Coturnix japonica: one gene and its partner. The protein of the gene in region 2 binds, or shares a complex with, the protein of the main gene of each other region. Links are inferred from orthologs where the notes say so. Each region holds a gene or a part of one and is shown on either strand. Other genes may lie near its edges. The genes, in order: TARDBP and ANXA11.

The links.
Region 1: the proteins of ANXA11 (region 2) and TARDBP are in contact, whole or in part, in a cryo-EM structure (PDB 9FOR), measured with the Homo sapiens proteins. The link is inferred for Coturnix japonica from reciprocal best matches to the Homo sapiens genes ANXA11 and TARDBP. Residues at the interface, in NP_001148.1 of Homo sapiens: Gly56, Met57, Ala59, Met61, Ser62, Gly63, Phe65, Asn69, Pro71, Asn72, Leu73; in NP_031401.1 of Homo sapiens: Ala328, Leu330, Ser332, Trp334, Gly335, Met337, Gly338, Met339, Ala341, Ser342, Gln343.

The regions. Positions count from the first base shown.
Region 1 is NC_029536.1:3,496,503-3,505,340, reverse strand, and holds the start of TARDBP (TAR DNA-binding protein 43), read right to left. Parts: upstream 5,466-8,838; 5' UTR 5,200-5,465; intron 4,908-5,199; 5' UTR 4,893-4,907; coding exon 4,655-4,892; intron 3,996-4,654; coding exon 3,832-3,995; intron 3,140-3,831; coding exon 2,999-3,139; intron 2,432-2,998; coding exon 2,261-2,431; intron 1,947-2,260; coding exon 1,416-1,946; 3' UTR 1-1,415. UniProt on the Homo sapiens protein: RNA-binding protein that is involved in various steps of RNA biogenesis and processing.
Region 2 is NC_029521.1:4,220,697-4,229,590, forward strand, and holds the start of ANXA11 (annexin A11), read right to left. Parts: upstream 5,307-8,894; 5' UTR 5,068-5,306; intron 802-5,067; 5' UTR 793-801; coding exon 741-792; intron 516-740; coding exon 391-515; intron 1-390. UniProt on the Homo sapiens protein: Binds specifically to calcyclin in a calcium-dependent manner. Required for midbody formation and completion of the terminal phase of cytokinesis.

The DNA of each region.
Region 1 (8,838 bases), on a different chromosome or scaffold from region 2:
TTTTATTTAAGAATTTCCTACAGTGACAAATCTTATAAAAAGCATCCAAACACGGAACTGCAGCAAACAGCATTCTTATGGTATCTTACACAGCAGAGCTTCCACCCTCAAGAGGCACACTGAGCTCAGCAGTGATGTGCTGCGAGAGCTACTGCAAAGCGCATCACAAGCTCAATGTTCTCATCGCAAACCCCACCATCTTCAATTCACATTGCCACACTTACAGATCGTTAACAGAAAAAAAACAACAAACACACACCATACAGCATTCACAGCAGTTGACATAAGGGAAAAAAAATACAAGTATTCTTTTCACATAAACACATTCAGCTAATTGATTAACTAGGTATAAAACCCACTTAAAGTCTTCCACGTATGGATGTCCTTTGAATGCAATAAACACTCGTACTTTATTTGCTATCATTGCTCTCTGCACACTCTCTCACCAAAGCCACAGGATTGAGAGACATCTCGCCAAGTAAAATAAAATCCCATAATGCACCACCAGGTCTCCGCACGCGCTCTCTTTTTTCTCGCTCATACCAGCCCTCTCATGCCTCGGCACCACCATCAATCCCACACAAGGTTTCAGAAGTTCAAACAGCCTTCTGGTCCATCTCACAGCCTTGCGTTCATAGCGTTGATACGACTCCATGAAATAAAGAGTAGCGGATAAAAATGGAACACCCACCGTCTAAGACGCAGCATGTGCAGTGTGATGAAGTATTCTTGGATGAGAAAGCATGTAGACAGAAGTATTCCTAAGGCAGAATATTTACAGCACTGCTTTCAATGAAGTGCTTCTTCCATACACATTTGAAATGAGATGAACTGCGGAGATTAAATGAAGCCTTCATATCGTACTTTAGTATGGAGGGGAGACAGTGTTAAAAAAGGAAAACAACAACAAAAAAAAACAAACGAAACAGAAAAAAAAACCAACGACACTGCGTTCTCCAGTTGGGGCACTTGGAGATTCTTATGGTGGGATCAAATTAAAAACGAGAGGGAGAGAATGCTGTTTCTGACCAATGGTTTCCATTTGGAACATGCAAAGAATTCAGGTAGCCAGGAAACGAGGGGGAAAGTACTACAGGAGAACCCTTTCCTATTGATTGTAGTGTTAGTTTACCTAGCAGGCAAACAGCAGTCCACTTCCAAACATTCAGTATTCCAACAAGTTACGTAACAAAACTTATAAAATTCCTTTTACCTTTCTTCCTCTTCCTTTTTTGTATTTTTTTTTGTTTGTTTGTCGGTTTTTTACAAAAGAAAAACGTCAAAAATACTGCTGAATATAGCGCACATTGAACAAAGTGATTTGGAAAAAATTTATATGTAATTTACAGGATACTTACCACGAGTTAGAAAAATTTGATTTCCCACCAAAGAGTCAGTATGAGAGCCCACTGCGTCTACATTCCCCAGCCTGATGATTTGGAATCCATGCTTGAACCAAAGCCTCCGTTAAACCCACTGCTGGAACCCGCGTTGGAAGCTGAACCCCAGCCTATTGCTGCTCCCGAGTTGGAACCACCGTAAGAGTTATTTCCTGAGCTGAAGCCCTGATTCTGTTCCCGCTGCATGTTGCCTTGGGGCTGGTTGTTTCCCGACGGCCCTGACTGGTTCTGCTGGCTAGCCAGCATGCCCATCATCCCCCAGCTGCTCTGCAGGGCTGCCTGCGCTGCTGCCATCATGGCAGGGTTGATGCTAAAGGCTCCGAAGTTCATGCCCCCACCCATGTTACTGCCCTGGTTGTTACCCAGTCCTCCCCCACCTCCTCTGCTGTTGCCAAACCCCCCCTGATTCCCAAAGCCTCCTGGGTTACCACCAAATCTTCCACCTCTCTCTAACTGCCTATTGCTATTGTGCTTAGGTTCAGCATTGGATATATGTACGCTGATTCCTTTAATGATCAAGTCCTCTCCACAAAGAGACTGGGCAACCTACAAAAAATAAGGGATTAGTTAAATGTAGGCTATTGTATTTTCTTAAAAAAGAACATTCAGCAGTACAAGACAAAATAAGCCCGTGTGATCCTAAGCAGATATTTACTTAACCTGCAAAAGAAGCACATGAGTATATTTGAGGCGTTCTATCTTCACGTTTGCTACAGAACTAACTGCAGTAAAAAACTGTATGCACAACAGCATCTGAGTAACCTAACCTCAGCCAGGCTAACATCGCTGAAGGGACCCTGAAGGGTCACCTACTGAAACACAGGCTGTCTAAACACGGGGTTAAAACACTTTACACGTACCTGATCATCTGCAAATGTAACAAAAGCAAAAGCTCGGAAAGGTTTAGGAATGAAGACATCTACCACTTCTCCATACTGAGCAAAGAACTGCTGGAGTTCATCTGCTGTCATGTCCTCAGTGCAGCGCCCAACAAACACTTTTCTGCTCCGCAAAGGCTCGTCGGGACTTTGCTGAAGGGAAGTGGAGAGAGAAGTATAATTAATGAATGGAAACTTCAACATGAAGACCAACCGTTCAGAAGACTGAAGATAAGGAAGTTTTAATTTGTAAGCTTCAGACTTCTGAAACTCTGTTCAGAGAGCACGTGTGCAACTCGGTACAGATGGGAACAGGGAAATAAAGGTAGTCAGTTATGGGCAGTGACAAGGCCAGTGCAGGACACGTCACTGTGCTGCACATTTAACTGCATATCCGCATGATCAGAACAGACTCATTCTGATATTCCATAGTTTCATGTGGCAGGCATGATAAATAACAAACTGCTGGATGTTAATAACACATTATTTTGTACTTCATATTGGAAAACTGAGTGCAGATATAACTAGCTATATCCCCAACACGTCTCATTCACTTCCTGTTCACCCACCTCCTCTATTTTCTTTATCCTGTTTACTCAGACTCCAAAACCACGAATAGGGCTTTTATTAACGTGTTCATCTGCTCACTTCGCACAGTGGCTATAGAAGTGAAGTTGTGAATGTTAGGCAAAACAAAGGTAGTCATAAATATGAAAGTACCTTAGAGTTGGGAAGTTTACAGTCACACCATCTGCCATCTATCATGTGTCGCTGGGACATGACCTTAACCTGGGTTTCATAATCCGTAAAACGAACAAAACCGAAACCCTTTGAGTGACCAGTCTTAATATCCTTTTTAACCTAGGATAAAAAAGAGCGGACTTTAAAACAGAACACAGTAGCACCGTGCTTGTGTTGGTGACATTAATGGCATGCTATTTACCTATCATCTTCTGTATCAATCTTGATATCATCACCAGAAAGGATACAGCCAGATCTCTGATTACCCCCCTTGTATACAACTACCTTTTCCTATGATACTAACCCTGCTATTATGCAGTCACAGCACAAGCTTCTGACACCTACAAATTTAATGCATTCTGACTGCTTTGAGCCCCAGTATTAGTTACTAAAACAGCAGGATCAGCATCAGGGTATAATTACTTTGTAACACTGTAATGACACGGCCAGACCTGCTATATAAACAATGCAAGCACACACAGCTGCATGCAGGACAGAGCCAGGCAGTGGTGACAGAGGTAACCTAGAGCATGCAACATGCTGTTCCTGAATTAATTTAGTAAAGCTTTGTTTTAAAGCCTGAAAAATAAGACATATACTCAGCTGTGACAATCAGCAACATAAACTAAAGAGCTGTTAATACATTGTACCCATTAGGCAGATCTGCGTGGATTACCACTCCCAAATATTCCCATCTGTACCCACACTACAAAGCTCTAAGGCACACAGCTTCAGATCTGCTCCTTTCTACTTTCTATCATCAGAACCCTGATTTCTACTTAACATCTTTCCATACTCAAAAAGTATTTTACCTGCACCATGAGGACTTCTCCAAATGTACTGAAGTATTCCTTTAAGTCTTGTTCTGTGGTTTTCCAAGGTAAACCTAGGACTATCAAGTCCGAAGTCTTCTGTACTGCTCGTTTTACCTTCACGGCTGAAGATGCATCTGTTTCATCCATTTTTCTCTTATTATCTGAATATAACGATGTACGTTAGAAATCATCCTCCTAACTTTAGAAACCCCTTCCACTAATCTTGAACAGCGCGGTATAAAACCAGACAACACTAAGAGGAAGTGCAGACAGCGGAAGAACACATGGCAGCTGTTGGAGGTTATCATTACAACCCACAGCCAACTGTCTGCAAGCGTGAAGAAAGAACGACCTACCAAGTCCTCCTATAAATGACCAAGTCCTCCTATCAATGCATTCTGAGTTAGTTTTGTGTTAGTTTACTCAAGGACCACCCAGTAATGTTTACTGAGGATGGGAACAAGATGGGTTTTTGACAACGATATTTAATGAGAAGGCTATTTCTAATTATTTTGGAGTGCTTTTGGTTGGATTTGTCTCACGTAGCTGTGACCAAAGCACGGCTTGAAGAGAAGTGTCTGTGAGTACACACAGCACCAGCATCTTTACAAGTTCTAATGAGGCTGCAACTCTCCCAAGCACAACATAAAACTGTCATCTAAGCCCTTCTGCAGCTAAAGAATTGAAGCTCTGAGTGCATCTGAAAACCCAGCGGGCTCAACTTCACCTGCAGGATGAACACAAGTCAATTGCTGTCACACACATCGATCTCTGGACTACAAAGCGCACTCATATGGAAACACAAAGGCACAGCACGAACCTTTGGGGTAGTTCACGACATAGACCAGGTTTCCCCAGCCGGCCTCAGGTGCGTGCAGGATGCCCTCCACCAGCCGCACGCCCCGCATACATTGCGATACCGGGTTGCGGTAACGCAGCCCACAGGCCCCGGGGAACTGCGCCGTGACGGTGGAGAGCAGCACGGTGCCGTCATCCTCCGACGGGATCTCGATGGGCTCATCGTTCTCGTCCTCCGTGACCCGGATGTACTCCGACATGTTCGCTGCAAGTCACTGAAGCGTGAGAGAGAAACACGCATCAATAACAGCCCCAACAACGCGCCTCGGGCCCAGCGGGGCACAGAGCGGCACCGAGCGGCACAACGGCAGGGCACGACCCGCCTCGCCCCGCCCCGAGCGGCGCAGGCCCCGCAGCGGCAACACCGGGCTCAGAGCCCCCACAGGGCCGGGAAGTGCAGAACAGCCCACGGGACAGCTCAGGGCTCACAGCTCACAGCTCGGAGCTCAGAGCTCACAGCCCGATCCCCGCCGCCCTCATTCCCAGCCCCGGCCGCCCCGCTCCTACCCGTCTCACCGGGCGGGAATGCAGCGCCGCGTCCTCAGCCCTCAGCGCCTCCAACGCGCCGCACAAAATGGCGGCCGGGCGGCGGGGCGAACCACTGTGAGGCGGAGGGGAAGATCGGGGCGTGTCGGCCGGCAGCGGGAGGGAGCCGGGATCGAGGCGCGGCTCCTGCGAGACGAACAGGAGCTGCAGCCCGACGTCCCGGAATGGCACGGGCCGACAGAACCGGAGCCGGGCTGTGCGTGCCGTTACCCCGCAATGGGCCGTGGTTCGGGCCGAGCCACGCGGGGGCTGCCGGGAGCGGCGTGAGGCGTTCCCGCCCTGTGCGCCTCCCTCAGGTGGCGGTGTCCGTCATGGCGGTGCGGGTCGGGTCGGGGCGGTTTGGAGCTGTTTAGAGCAGGTGATGCTCGCTGTTGTAACACTGCTTGCTGTTTAGTTCTTCCTAAGCCCAGTTTCTATTTAGTTAATGGGAAGTTAAGCCTCCATATGCTGCATAGTGATCTCCTGAGTCCCAGGCCATGATAACTAATGGACACTCGTGTTGTTGCTGCTGTTGCTCTGGCTCCATAAGGTAAGAACCCCACGCAGGACAGTGTCTGTGCTGAGCTGTGTGTGGGCAGCCAGATAAGGGTGGCTCAATCAGCAATACAATACAATTGTACAATACAATACAATACAGCACTGTGCTGTGCTGTAGTAAGGAAAGCAGCACCTTACAGCTCCCATCTCACCTGTTCTTGGTGCCTCTGATCACACACAGGCTGTGCTCACACCCAGATTGACTCCCCTTGTACCACTGTCCTTAAAAAGAACAAAAAGAAGCAATCTTGTTAGTAAAGGTAGGTGACTCCTGCTAGGTAGGGCCAATCCAGTTCCTTGCATCGACACAGAGAATTGCTGAGTATTTAAAGCTCCCACTTAAAACTTACAACTGCAAAACTTGGCTCTGGCACCACTGAAACTTGGCCCATCTGTGCCCCGGTAGCTTTAGACTCAGCCTTATCATTTAATTACCATTTTCCAACAGAGTTCTGAGAGCAGCTGACAAGACACAAGCTGACGAGATAAGCTAATGCTCCATGTAGGCGTTCTCTTGAAATTCCTACATTTTCCAGCCATCCACAAGACACGTCCCAAACCCAGTTCTGGTGTTGCCAAGTCAGCACGGAGGTAGTCGGTGTTGTCTGAACACGCCGTGAGGACTGAGCGGTAATTGCAGCATGTCAACATTACCTACTGCACCATTCCAAGTCAAAGCTATAGTTTAGCAATCAACGCTATTTGAAGAGGTTGCCGTGGCATTCAGCCAAAGTGACCTCTATCTGACAAAGCATCTGCTGCTAGTTTTATTAATGAGCAGAGTAAACATCAACCCTGTGCTAGATTTGTGCAGGTAAGAGCCAGGGGAGGGCAGTGAGCAAATGTAACTATCTTTTTTCTGTAAAAGCTGGGATTCTTGCAGCATTTTCCTACTGTTATTTTGCATGACTGTTCGATTTAAGTTAAGCAGATAACAACAGTGTTGCCCTTGAAGTAACTACACCAGCGGGCCAGCAGCTAGTTAATACACCAGTTGTCTCACGCTGGCAATTCACAGTGCCCATGGGTGCAGACAAATGCAGTACCGTGGTACTAACCATCATGTATATCGAGTTAAGTGTGCCCACAGGAAAGAAAGAAAATGCAATACAATAACTATTTGCTGCTCTGGGTTAAGTGTGCTCGTGGGTACAAACAAACTCCATAACGATCAGCTGTTTGTTCTCTCTCCCAAAAGCACTTGGGGTGAAAAACCGCCATCAATGGCCATTTAAATATAACCTCATGATTAAACAAACCAACAAGCAAAACAGATAAACAGGGAGTACTCGGGCCTATTTCTAACTTCAGTTAGATCAGTAAAAGGGATTTAAATAACGATGTCATTTCAGCATAATCAGATTCTGGCCTGGTTATGCCAATAGTAAATAAGCATAAGTGTTGGTTCTCATTCTAACTGTACAGTGAGAAAAAGAGCCTACATCCTTTCAGTCAGCCTTACCTGCTCCTTCATAAGCACAGTCCTCCATGCACACCAAGTCAAGCCCACCTTGCACGTGGTTACCTAAAAGAACAGGACACTCTTCAGTTATTCATTTCTCTTTGTCATCTAAGGCCATTTGAGCCTTCAATTAAGCCGGCTGTATATCACAGATACTGTTCCCCCTCAAGGGAACAAGACGGGTAATATTTCATTTTCCCAGCTAAAGCTGAAAATCCATTCACACGCAGAAGAGCAGCGTTTTACAATACTTATCTTTCTCCCTTCCACTTTGAAGCAGCTTTCATCACAAGGACATTTGCAATAATTACTTCCTCCTCACCCCAGAAACGTCTACCATAAGCAGAACTTTCCGCACACAAGCAAAGGAGAACTTTGCTTTATATACACATAAAAAACTTCTACTGTGAGCTTCCCAACATACAGATTAAACACCTCACCAGACCTTATTCTTGTCACCCCAAAAGGAGAACACGTCCGTTGTTCTCACAGCAGCACTCCTCCTACTCCCCTTTGTTGAGGCAGTTCTAAGAGTTCCTTATAGTGCCTGCCACACTGCAAGCAACTTTCCCATGATCCTAAAAGGCCACGATTGCAATTATTGCATTTGAAATCCACCTGAGATGGTTCAGTCCTTTAACAGGCAGAATTTCCTCATTCCTTATTTCCTGTCCTTATTTACTTAGCTCTTCCAAAAGTGACTGGAACTGCTGATGTGTTTTTCAAGCACAACTGAAGGCAAATGATTTGTGTGCTTGACTGTTGCAGGCAGCCAGAAGGACGCGGTGCTTGTTAGCCTGGGACCTCCCAGCACCAGTAGCTGTTCTGAAAGCTTTGGCTTTCTTCCTCTGCCACACTACGAAGTGAAACTGCTGCTGCTTGTTTCATCGCCAGACAGATGCCGAGTGTTAGAGGAAGAAGAAACGATCACAATTGGCAATGAATGTTGGTGGGAGTGAGGCTGATTAGCTTGTGTTCCTTTGAGACAGCTGGGGTCAGCCATCCAGGTGTGGTTTCCCAGACCCCTCACATACAGAAGGATGCCCTTGGCAAGGAGAAAACATGCAGTGATTGGAGAGGCAGCAGTGGTGACAAAAGGCCACTCTCAGCTCCGCAGCATCTGCTGGCAGTTTGGTGCTGACTGCTACCTTTGTTTCTGAGCTGTGAGCTACAGACAGCGGGTGGAAGCCATGGGAGCAGGAGGCCCACGCTTCTGTCGGCTACCCCGAGCACAAACGACCTCGTTGTGCTGAGCAAGCAGCAGTGCTGTAGTGTTCCAGCTCCTGCTGACACAGTTGCCAATTCTTACTTGTCTGCTGAGACAGAGCAGTGCTCTTGGGAAATGTTTTCTCTGGTTTTGTGCTCTAGGTTCATGGACAAGTGGCTGGCATTGTGAGGCAGCATCAGGTATCACCCTTCTGTTTTAGTTTGCGGATAGACAACATGGTTGGAGGATTTCAGTTAGTGGAGCTGGTGACTGTGAGCATATACAGGAGTCTTGCCTTTAGAAGCTGAAAATCAGGGTTCAAAGCACAACAGCACGTAGCGTCTGACATCTTCACTGTCTTGTTTGATTGGTACCTGTGGGAACTGCCCCACGT
Region 2 (8,894 bases):
AACTGCAGAACCTGGCTCTTTTTTCAACTGGCCCAAAAGCAGGTAATAAGCAAAACCTGAGCTGTGTTTGCCAATATGAATACATTAAGAACAGACAGTCAGTATTAAGCACACACGTCCCCACTCCTCTGCATGGCAAAGTCATGTCTTACATCCTCGCCTTCTGAAATTAGGCTCTTTAGACAAAATTTATCAACAGATTCTGCCTTTCTAACATAAGGAATAGCTTATGGTAACCATTTACTTCAACAGATGGTACTGAATGCTCAGCGTTTAAACAAAGGTTAGAAAAAGGCACAAAACAAACCTGCTGTAAACTATTTGTCTACAGTACCAACATCACAACTTAAAGAAGTCACAGTAAGAAACATCAAATGAAAGCTGACTCACCATTCCAGCCATGTAGTTTGGGTTGAACTGATTAGCGTAGCCAGCCACATTTTCTAGACCAATTGGAGGTGGATTTGAAGGTGGATTTGAAGGTGGATAGGCAGCACCACCCCAAGGACTGCCACCTGAAATCAAACACAGCTGCACTGAAACAAGACACGACACCTTTTAAAGCTTGTCTATCAGCCAAGATTAAACACCACTACAAAAAACTCCAAACTGAACGTAGGAAGAAACCACTGGAAGCCCCAGTGTCCAGAAAACCCTGCAGACTCACGCTTCATTCATTCCACCTTTTCACTTGTGAGGACCATGGGTCACTTAACAGTTACTTCATCTGATTGACTCACCTGGGGGTGCTGGTGGATATCCACCTGCTGGGGGATAGCCCGGGTAACTCATTGCAAAGACCTGAAAAGCAGATGTGAGACAGTCATTTTCTGCAGCGCCTGGCTAATTACACCACATGAAATCAACAGGCAGTATGTTTGCAGAAGCCAGGCAATACAATCTGGATAACAACCAGACAAGTTGCAGGGGCTTTTTTGGGGAAAGGACTTTTTATTTTGGACCAGTGAATATATTCAGATATTTAACCAGCTCTACCGTCTCTCCTCAGATTATTTCTCTTACTCATTTCATACATACTCCTCATTTTGTCAATTACATTGTTAAGGATGCATCACTCTAAAGCATGTTACCGTGCCATTAAATTATCACCAAGTTCACAACCTATGCAGAACAGTTTTGTTAACCAGAAGTAGAAAAAGCAGTTGACAAACAAACCACATCATCAAATGACTAAGATCATGAGCTGCGTAGGAGGTGACTGAAATGGAAACATATGCAGAAGCACAAGGTCAGAGTAAGAAGCTGAAAGGACACAACACTGTCAGCACTGTAATAGAGGGCGTACCTAAAGGAGATCACTGAAATAAATTGGATCTCTAGAAGTTGACAGTGCTTCTGTCAGAACGTACAGACAAATGCCATGTCATCAGTGCCCAAAATAAAAGTGGACTGTTAACCACTGCCACTGCTTGGAGACTGGCTCTGTATTGGTCAGTGCATGGTGAGTAATGGCACTGTGCATCACTTGCTTTGTATATGCCTTTGTAGTTATTAGTCCCTTTCTTTGGGAGAGCATTTTGATCAAGTGGGCTTCCCAAAGGCTGCAGCTGTTAAGGCACCCTTCCAACATGGCTTCACACCATGGATCCATTCTTCAGGAGTAGGCTGATGCAGCACAGGGCCCCACGGGCACCAGTGGCCCCAGACCAGGGCTTTTTATCCTCTTTTTGCTATTAATTTACTTGGTGTAATAAAATCTGACCTATTCATGGCCTATACCAGGCTGGGACTCTGCTGCCTTTTCCCCCCAGCAGCTCCTGAATGAAGCAGAACAGGCAGAAGCCTCTTGTCTAACTACACATAACCACTCAAACACACAAACAGCACAAAAGACAAAGAAGAAAACAAAGAACCCAAAATAGTTAACAAAGGTTTCCTACTTCAACACCTAGTACAATGCACTTCCACTGCTTATAAGGTGATGTAACTTGCTATAATGAAGATAAATACCCCCCCACTTCATGGGTAATCATGGGGGGACTGTTTGCCTGTCATGGATAAATCCAATAATGATAACAAGATGCTTTTCAATACAGATTAAGGTACAAATTAAAACACAGAAAGGCTTTTTTTTTTGTGGTGAAGGGCAGGGCAGAATGGGAGCTGTGTGTCCTAGAAGTGTTGTTAGCACGCTTTTAATCCTATGTGGAACATTCCCTTCTGATTAAAGAATAATAATGAAAAGAGTCATTTAGCAATTAATACTGAGGTTGACAACTAATGGCAAACTTCATTAGCAGCCTAAGAGAAAGTGTTACTATATATATCAAAAAGTTCCACTTGCTTCTTTTGAATGCTGTACTTGTCCAAGCCTTTTCACAAGGAATTTCTTCCACCTTGGTTCCATTCCAGGCAAACCAAATCCACAAACACACCAACTCCTCACGCTCACAAACCTCCTCCGTCATCACTTCATCAAGCCCTGCTGGCCATTCCTCTAACTGAGCAAACCATTCTACATTCAATTCCCCAGCCACTCCCACAACCTCATCTCTTTCTATGCCCACCACACCAACTTTTACTCTGCTACATCTTAGTCAAAACAGAAGGGGGACACTGAATTGCTGACAACAGAGAAGAGGATTCAGGAGTCCACCACCCAGTTATATAAATACTGCGTGGGAGGATACAGGAACACGGAGGACTGTGTTTGCTCAGTCATAAAAGCACATGAGAGAGAAAAAAAAACACCAACAAAAAGCAAACAGAAACAGGGAGTGCCTTGTATTAAATATAGAACTGACACTGTTAAGGTCCTCTCCTCGCCCTCAGAGCTCACCCTGGAGGTAACACCTAAAAACGTGACATGAAGACCCTGCAATTTGTTTAGTTCAGCATTCAGCCTCCAACAATACCACGTTCCAATAGCCTGAAGGCAACAGTTATGAAAACATCACAGCCTTTGTTGGTTGAAAGCAATCTGTTTAATTAGGACTGCTTTCCAGGGAACACTGAAGAAACTTTACTCCTTGGTCTTTTCCATCTCTTCAGGGTGAATTACTTACTAGGATGCGGTAACAAAAGGCTGCCTAAAGCTATATATTACACAACTCCTCTCTGCAGAAAGCAGAGCCCGCTTCAAGGCTGCTGATTGCACCACAAGAGCTCAGAACAGCATCTGCCTCCTTACAGCAGGCTGCAGATCTTCATCACAGGTCAGCTGCCCATCCTTTACTGTGTCTGTGTAAGACAAGGACAAGCCACAGTCAGCACCATATCAGCTACCTGCTATTGTACCAGCCTAAGCAAGATCTATTTTTGACTTGCTTAGCCCAACGCAGCATTGAAGTTGCTCTTTCCTACAGCAGATATAATACCCTACACCCTGTGAAACTAAGAGCCCTGCAGTGTGGTTTTAAGTCTTCTGTGTATGTGACTCCTGGACATGCTATAAATGGCCCAAATTATGTTCCCAGCTGACTAATGCCTCAAGGATTTCTATCAATCTATTTTCAGTTCTACCATAAAAGACAATTTTTTTCGCATCTTCAGTGAAAAGTAAACAGTAATTAATCCACCTCACAAAGCACCCTCTGTGGGGGATCCTACAGAACTAAAGTGACACTGTAGCACTCAGTACCCCACAGCACATTTATATGTTTATAGAACATACCCATCTCCCAGGCGTAAAGTTGGTCTCTCAAGTAACAATAAAAAAGAATATTGCTACTGTCTTCCTCAGGCAACTTCAGCATCTGAGTCCAAGGAACTTGCCAGAGCAAAGTTACATCTCCAACATCCTTTTTTAATCAGAACATATGCCCGTACCTTCAGGAATGTGAATTAGAGGCCTATCACAGCAAAGATTCTCAGAAGCTGGGAGCCAAAAGCCTGCAGAGGTCCATCTCTCCCAGTGTCCAAACAAATACCAACCAACAGCTACAAGGAAAGGAAAGCATCCAGGCCAGAGCTCTCTCCCACCAAAAGCTGAGACAAAGCCTGAACAGAGGGACAGGACGGTGACAATTTCCAAGCACGCTCAAGAGAGTACTCCCTGCAGTGGAGGAACAAGGCTTCCTCTCATAGCCAATGCACAAAGACCAGGAAGCAACGCCTGGGCAGGCCTTCGGTCTGCTTCCTTGTTCTTAGAAAGGATGCTGGTAATGATTAGACAGCACAGAGATCCCGCTCTGTGCCATGGCCAGCCACATAGCACACATTACCAGGTTTTTATTCTTGAAAGCAGACTGAAAAGGCCTTGTGTTCCTATGATGCAGTGATGAGCACCAGCCCAGACTCACATCTGGGACAGCTGAGCAGTACAGGTTCAGCCTCACGCACCAGCTGATAGACATGGGCAGGACGGGCTGCCTGCTCAGCACAAGCACTTCATCTAAGTGACTTCTAGAACCACCTCAGCACATCTCCACTGCGACCTGCTCTATATTTACCCCAAATTCCTATCTAGATCTACCTTCCTATCCAGATCTTGTAGCGAACTGATAACATCTAGAGCAAACTGCAAGCAACAACAGAACCGGTACAATGAAAATATTTGGTTAACTTATCTACCACTCACAGGAGGAACTGCGTTATGTTCTCACTACAGTCTCCAAAAGACATCTATTTTCTGGTACCACACCAACTAACCTGGCTATACAGCAGTACATGGCATCTTCTTTTTATGTGGACACGTTTCTACTGCCTCACAGACCATTAAACTATAACAGGAGCTGAACAGCTTCCGTTTTAAGACGCTCTAAGAACGCACAGGGCCAGAAAAAGGGAAGTACGCTGCAAGCAGCTCGCAGGAAGCTGGTTAAAAAAAGGAATAAATAAATAAAGGAAGGAAAAATAAAGCACGCACGGACAGTTCTCCCAGAAGAACCCCCTTCGCTTCTGCCTCACAGCAAAACCAGCAGCTCAGAACGCACCAAGGACACACGCACAGCACACAAGTACGAATGCGAGAAGCGCCCGGTCGTCCCGCAGGCAGCAACAGCCGCTCACCGCCCCCTGAGCCCCGTCAGCCCCCTGCCCCGACCCCGTCATTGGGGACGTTCCCCCCCTTCCTCCTCACTCCCCCCACCCCGCAGCCGCTCCTACCGCGTTCCGCAGCCGCCCCGGTCGCGCTGTGAGGCGGTGACAGGGCGCAGCGGGGGGCGGGGAGAGCCCTGCGTCAGGGGAGGGCGAGCCGGGCTGCGCTCCGAGGCCGGGCGGGGCTGTGCGAGTTACAGCCCATGGCCGCTCCTGAGGCGCTTCGCTCCGAGCGCCATGCGAGGGGGTGGGGGTGCAGACACAGCGCTGCTAGCACGTCTTGCAGCCGTATTCCTTTCAGGAAGGCTGGCACGCGGTGTTTACGACGTGAAACGTTTCCTTGGGGAACACCAGCGGCTCCCGACTCAATAACAAGGTTGTGAGTTCCAGCAGAACCAAAAGCTTCTTTCCACTGTGGAAAGTCTGCTTCATAGAAACCGCACGGCTCCACCCGGCGGCCCGTGTGACTGGGAGGCCGCGCTGCCCCGTTGGGCACGGCTGGTTTAAAGCAGAAGCTGACTGCTTCGGACAGGAATTGCTCTTGTGCTTCAGGCCGGCAGCACGGCTGACTCAAAACTGGAAACAGCACAGGCTTTACAGACTGGTTTAAACCTTCTAAGATCCCTTCCTATTACCGGCCCTTCACCTGCATTGGGAAAACATCATAGAACAGAACAGGGTCACAGAACTGCTCAGGTTGGAAAAGATCTTGAAGATAAAGTCCCACCATAACCCAGCCATACAACCCTAACTATCATGCATACTGCTGCTTCCTGGCCCACCATTTCTTCTACTTCATGGCAGGGTTCAACTGCTGTGCTTTTTACCATAGAACATCTGCAAAAGAACCCCACCCAAAGCACTGTGCTACCCAGCTGTGTGAGAAATGCCACCAAACACAGACCCAGGGAGGTGGGAGAAGGGAAAACAACAGAAGTCTATAAAAGTCTCTATATAAGTCATATATAATACACATTTCCTTCAGTGAAGTTCTATGAGAGGTTCTGAGGTGGAAGACTTCCCACATAGAGCTTTTGTAGCACAAGGGGTAGCAGATAAACCCTCAAATACAAATGTTTTTATTTTTTTTTCCTACATGCATTCTTTAAAGATGAGTGAATCACTCACATGGAAGCGTTTGGAGAAACAAAACAAGGTCAAAAGGAAAAAAAAAAACCAACCACCAAGAAGGCCTGACTTTTTGCAATTACTTATTTTTTTGCTGAGATACTCATCACAATAACATTGTTAGTTATGCAACTACAGCAGGGCATCAACTCTTCTCTGAATCTGGGATTTTCATATACAGGGTCTTAGAACCTCCTTATGAGCCTGGATTTCCTCATATGCATGTCTTAAACAAGTCCATTTGATTTAGAACTCATCCTGATGGATGTGCTCAAACTACTTAAAGCATAAGACCTGGTTTTATGGATGGGAACTGCATCTACGAAGGGTCGTCTCTTCAAGAGGAATTCAGATGAACATATTTCTTCAGTGCTGTTGTTCGCTGTTGTTAATAAAGCCCTTTGAGCATCATGCCTAGGCTAACAGGGATATATAAGGAAACTTGTGCTGCTGCAACCAGTCCCATAATAATTCCAGACCTGGCTGTGCTTGTGTTAAAATTGATTGCAATGCTCCGTGGATTTCAAGTAAAGTTCAGCTTATGGCTCACTTCTATGAATCCCTCTATTTATCCTGCTACTGTGGCTGTAAGTTCCACACCTTTGATGCTACGTAAACAGAAAACTGAGCTAGCTACAGCAGCATATGGAATATTTTTTACTGACAAGGAAACCATTGTGCAGAAAGCTCCCTAGGTGCCATTTTCAGGCAGGGAATGAGGCATTAGCTTTGCATGTTTCATTTCTGGAAACTTTTACACAGGAACGATAACTTCAGTTTAGGCTCTTCGGGAACCTTGGCTGGATCACATCCCTCTTCCTGCCAAAGCCGTAATGGGCAGCAAATGTTCTTGTCAACAAAAAGATATCATAGTGCGTGTTATATCAAGAGAAAGTTGCATAACACCAGCTTTAAAGGAAGATTTTCTGTAAAACCAGATGGTTATAATTACATGACACACATTAGAGCTATTTGGCATATTGGAAGCCGTTTCTATGTTTTAAAGGGCATAAAAACACTAAGAGATCATCCTCTTGTATTGCATGCACACATCCAGGTCTAGCTCCAGTAATTTATTCCTGTAATCCCTCAGCCCGCTATTTCTTCCTTGAAATTCTACTTTGCCTCTGACAGATGACAGACTCAAACAAGTAACGAAGTCGTAACATGAATTCCTACCAGGAGCCTCTAGATTCCTGACTTGGACTCTCCCCCACACTTCCTCAGCTTTGTTATAAGGATGTCACGGGAGACAGTATCAAATGCCTTGCTGAAATCAAGGTAGACTCCAACCACCACTCTCCCCCACATCCAACCAGCCAGTGACAACATCACAGAAGGCCACCAGGTTGGTCAAGGACGACCTCCCCTTGGTGAGCCCATGCTGACTACTCCTGATAACCTCCTTTTCTCCCAGTTGTCTGGAGATGGCATCCAGCACAACCTGTTCCATCATCTTTCCAGGGACAGAGGTGAGGCAGACTGGCCTATTTCCTGCATGTTCAGAGCTTGATTCTTTAAGGTTCTCTGAATTGATGGGGGTTTTGGAAAGGCAGTCTCTCAAATACTTCCATTGTATTTTTGGCAACATGAGGAATATGTGCACCTGAAGAAATAAGCACTTAAATTCTTCAGTTTTGTTATTTCTTCTAGGCATTCCTTGGTTTTAAACTTGCTTTTTTACACACTGTTGCTAAACCATGCAGTTTCTAATTCTTTTTTTCCCCGCTGTTTTCCTCTCCTACAGCTGGACCTTCAGATGAACCTCAACTCTATAAAAAAATACCATATGCATTTATTCCTTTTCTTCTGCAAGTGCTTTATAGGTCTGATAATGTTTGAGAGGCAGTGTTAGCTCTAGCCTGTTATACTCCTGAAAAAATATTACCCCACCTATACCTGCACAGCTTAAGCGCCCAGTAAGAGAAAACAAATACATTAGCTGACATATTTAAGCATTTGTGAATGTAATTCAACTGGGAGCCTGTGAAACTCATCCAAACAGGTTCTATATCAGCCATTTATCCCCCCTACTGTTGGCTGTGGTATGTATAATGTTATTATAACATATGTTATATTAACACACTGTACTCTTGATCATGATAAGCGACTTTCCAGCCCCACAGAGTTTCTGAGTGGAACTTAATATGACACAAAAACAGATGGCCCACCTTCTTCTTCCCATAGTCCACAGGAAATGAAGAATGAAGCAACTGAAGCAGTCTGACACTCAGTAACGTCATAGAGAGTTACCAAATCAGGTCACTAGTTGAGCAGGGGACTTCCTCCTTTAGGAAATAAGGAAAAGAAGGGCCACTACAGAACACCTCAAGGCTCTGCATTAAGTGACATATAAGTTATTTCAAAGCATGTTCTCATTGTGACACTCTAAAGTATAATAGACTTGGAAATCTCCGGTCTGAATACTAATTTCAACACTGGTATTTAATTATATTCTTGCAGTGGCTCAAACTGCAAAGAAGTTTTAATTAACCCAGTAGAAAACAGGACAACGTTAGTAGAAGAGGCAGCCACTTAAATAACCAAGGTCCAGTCAATAAAACAACATAAACTGTATTGTGCACAGGTGGGTATTACACAGAAAAAGAAGAAATATTAGCTGATTTTCAAAAACACTAGGGTTAGACAGACAGTAACACACATATTAATGGAAGTTCAGAATGAATCAGCAGGCATAGCAGCATCATAAAATAACTTAAGAGCCTGTATTAGTTGCTGTTTAGAAGCTTAACAAGAACACAATGCAG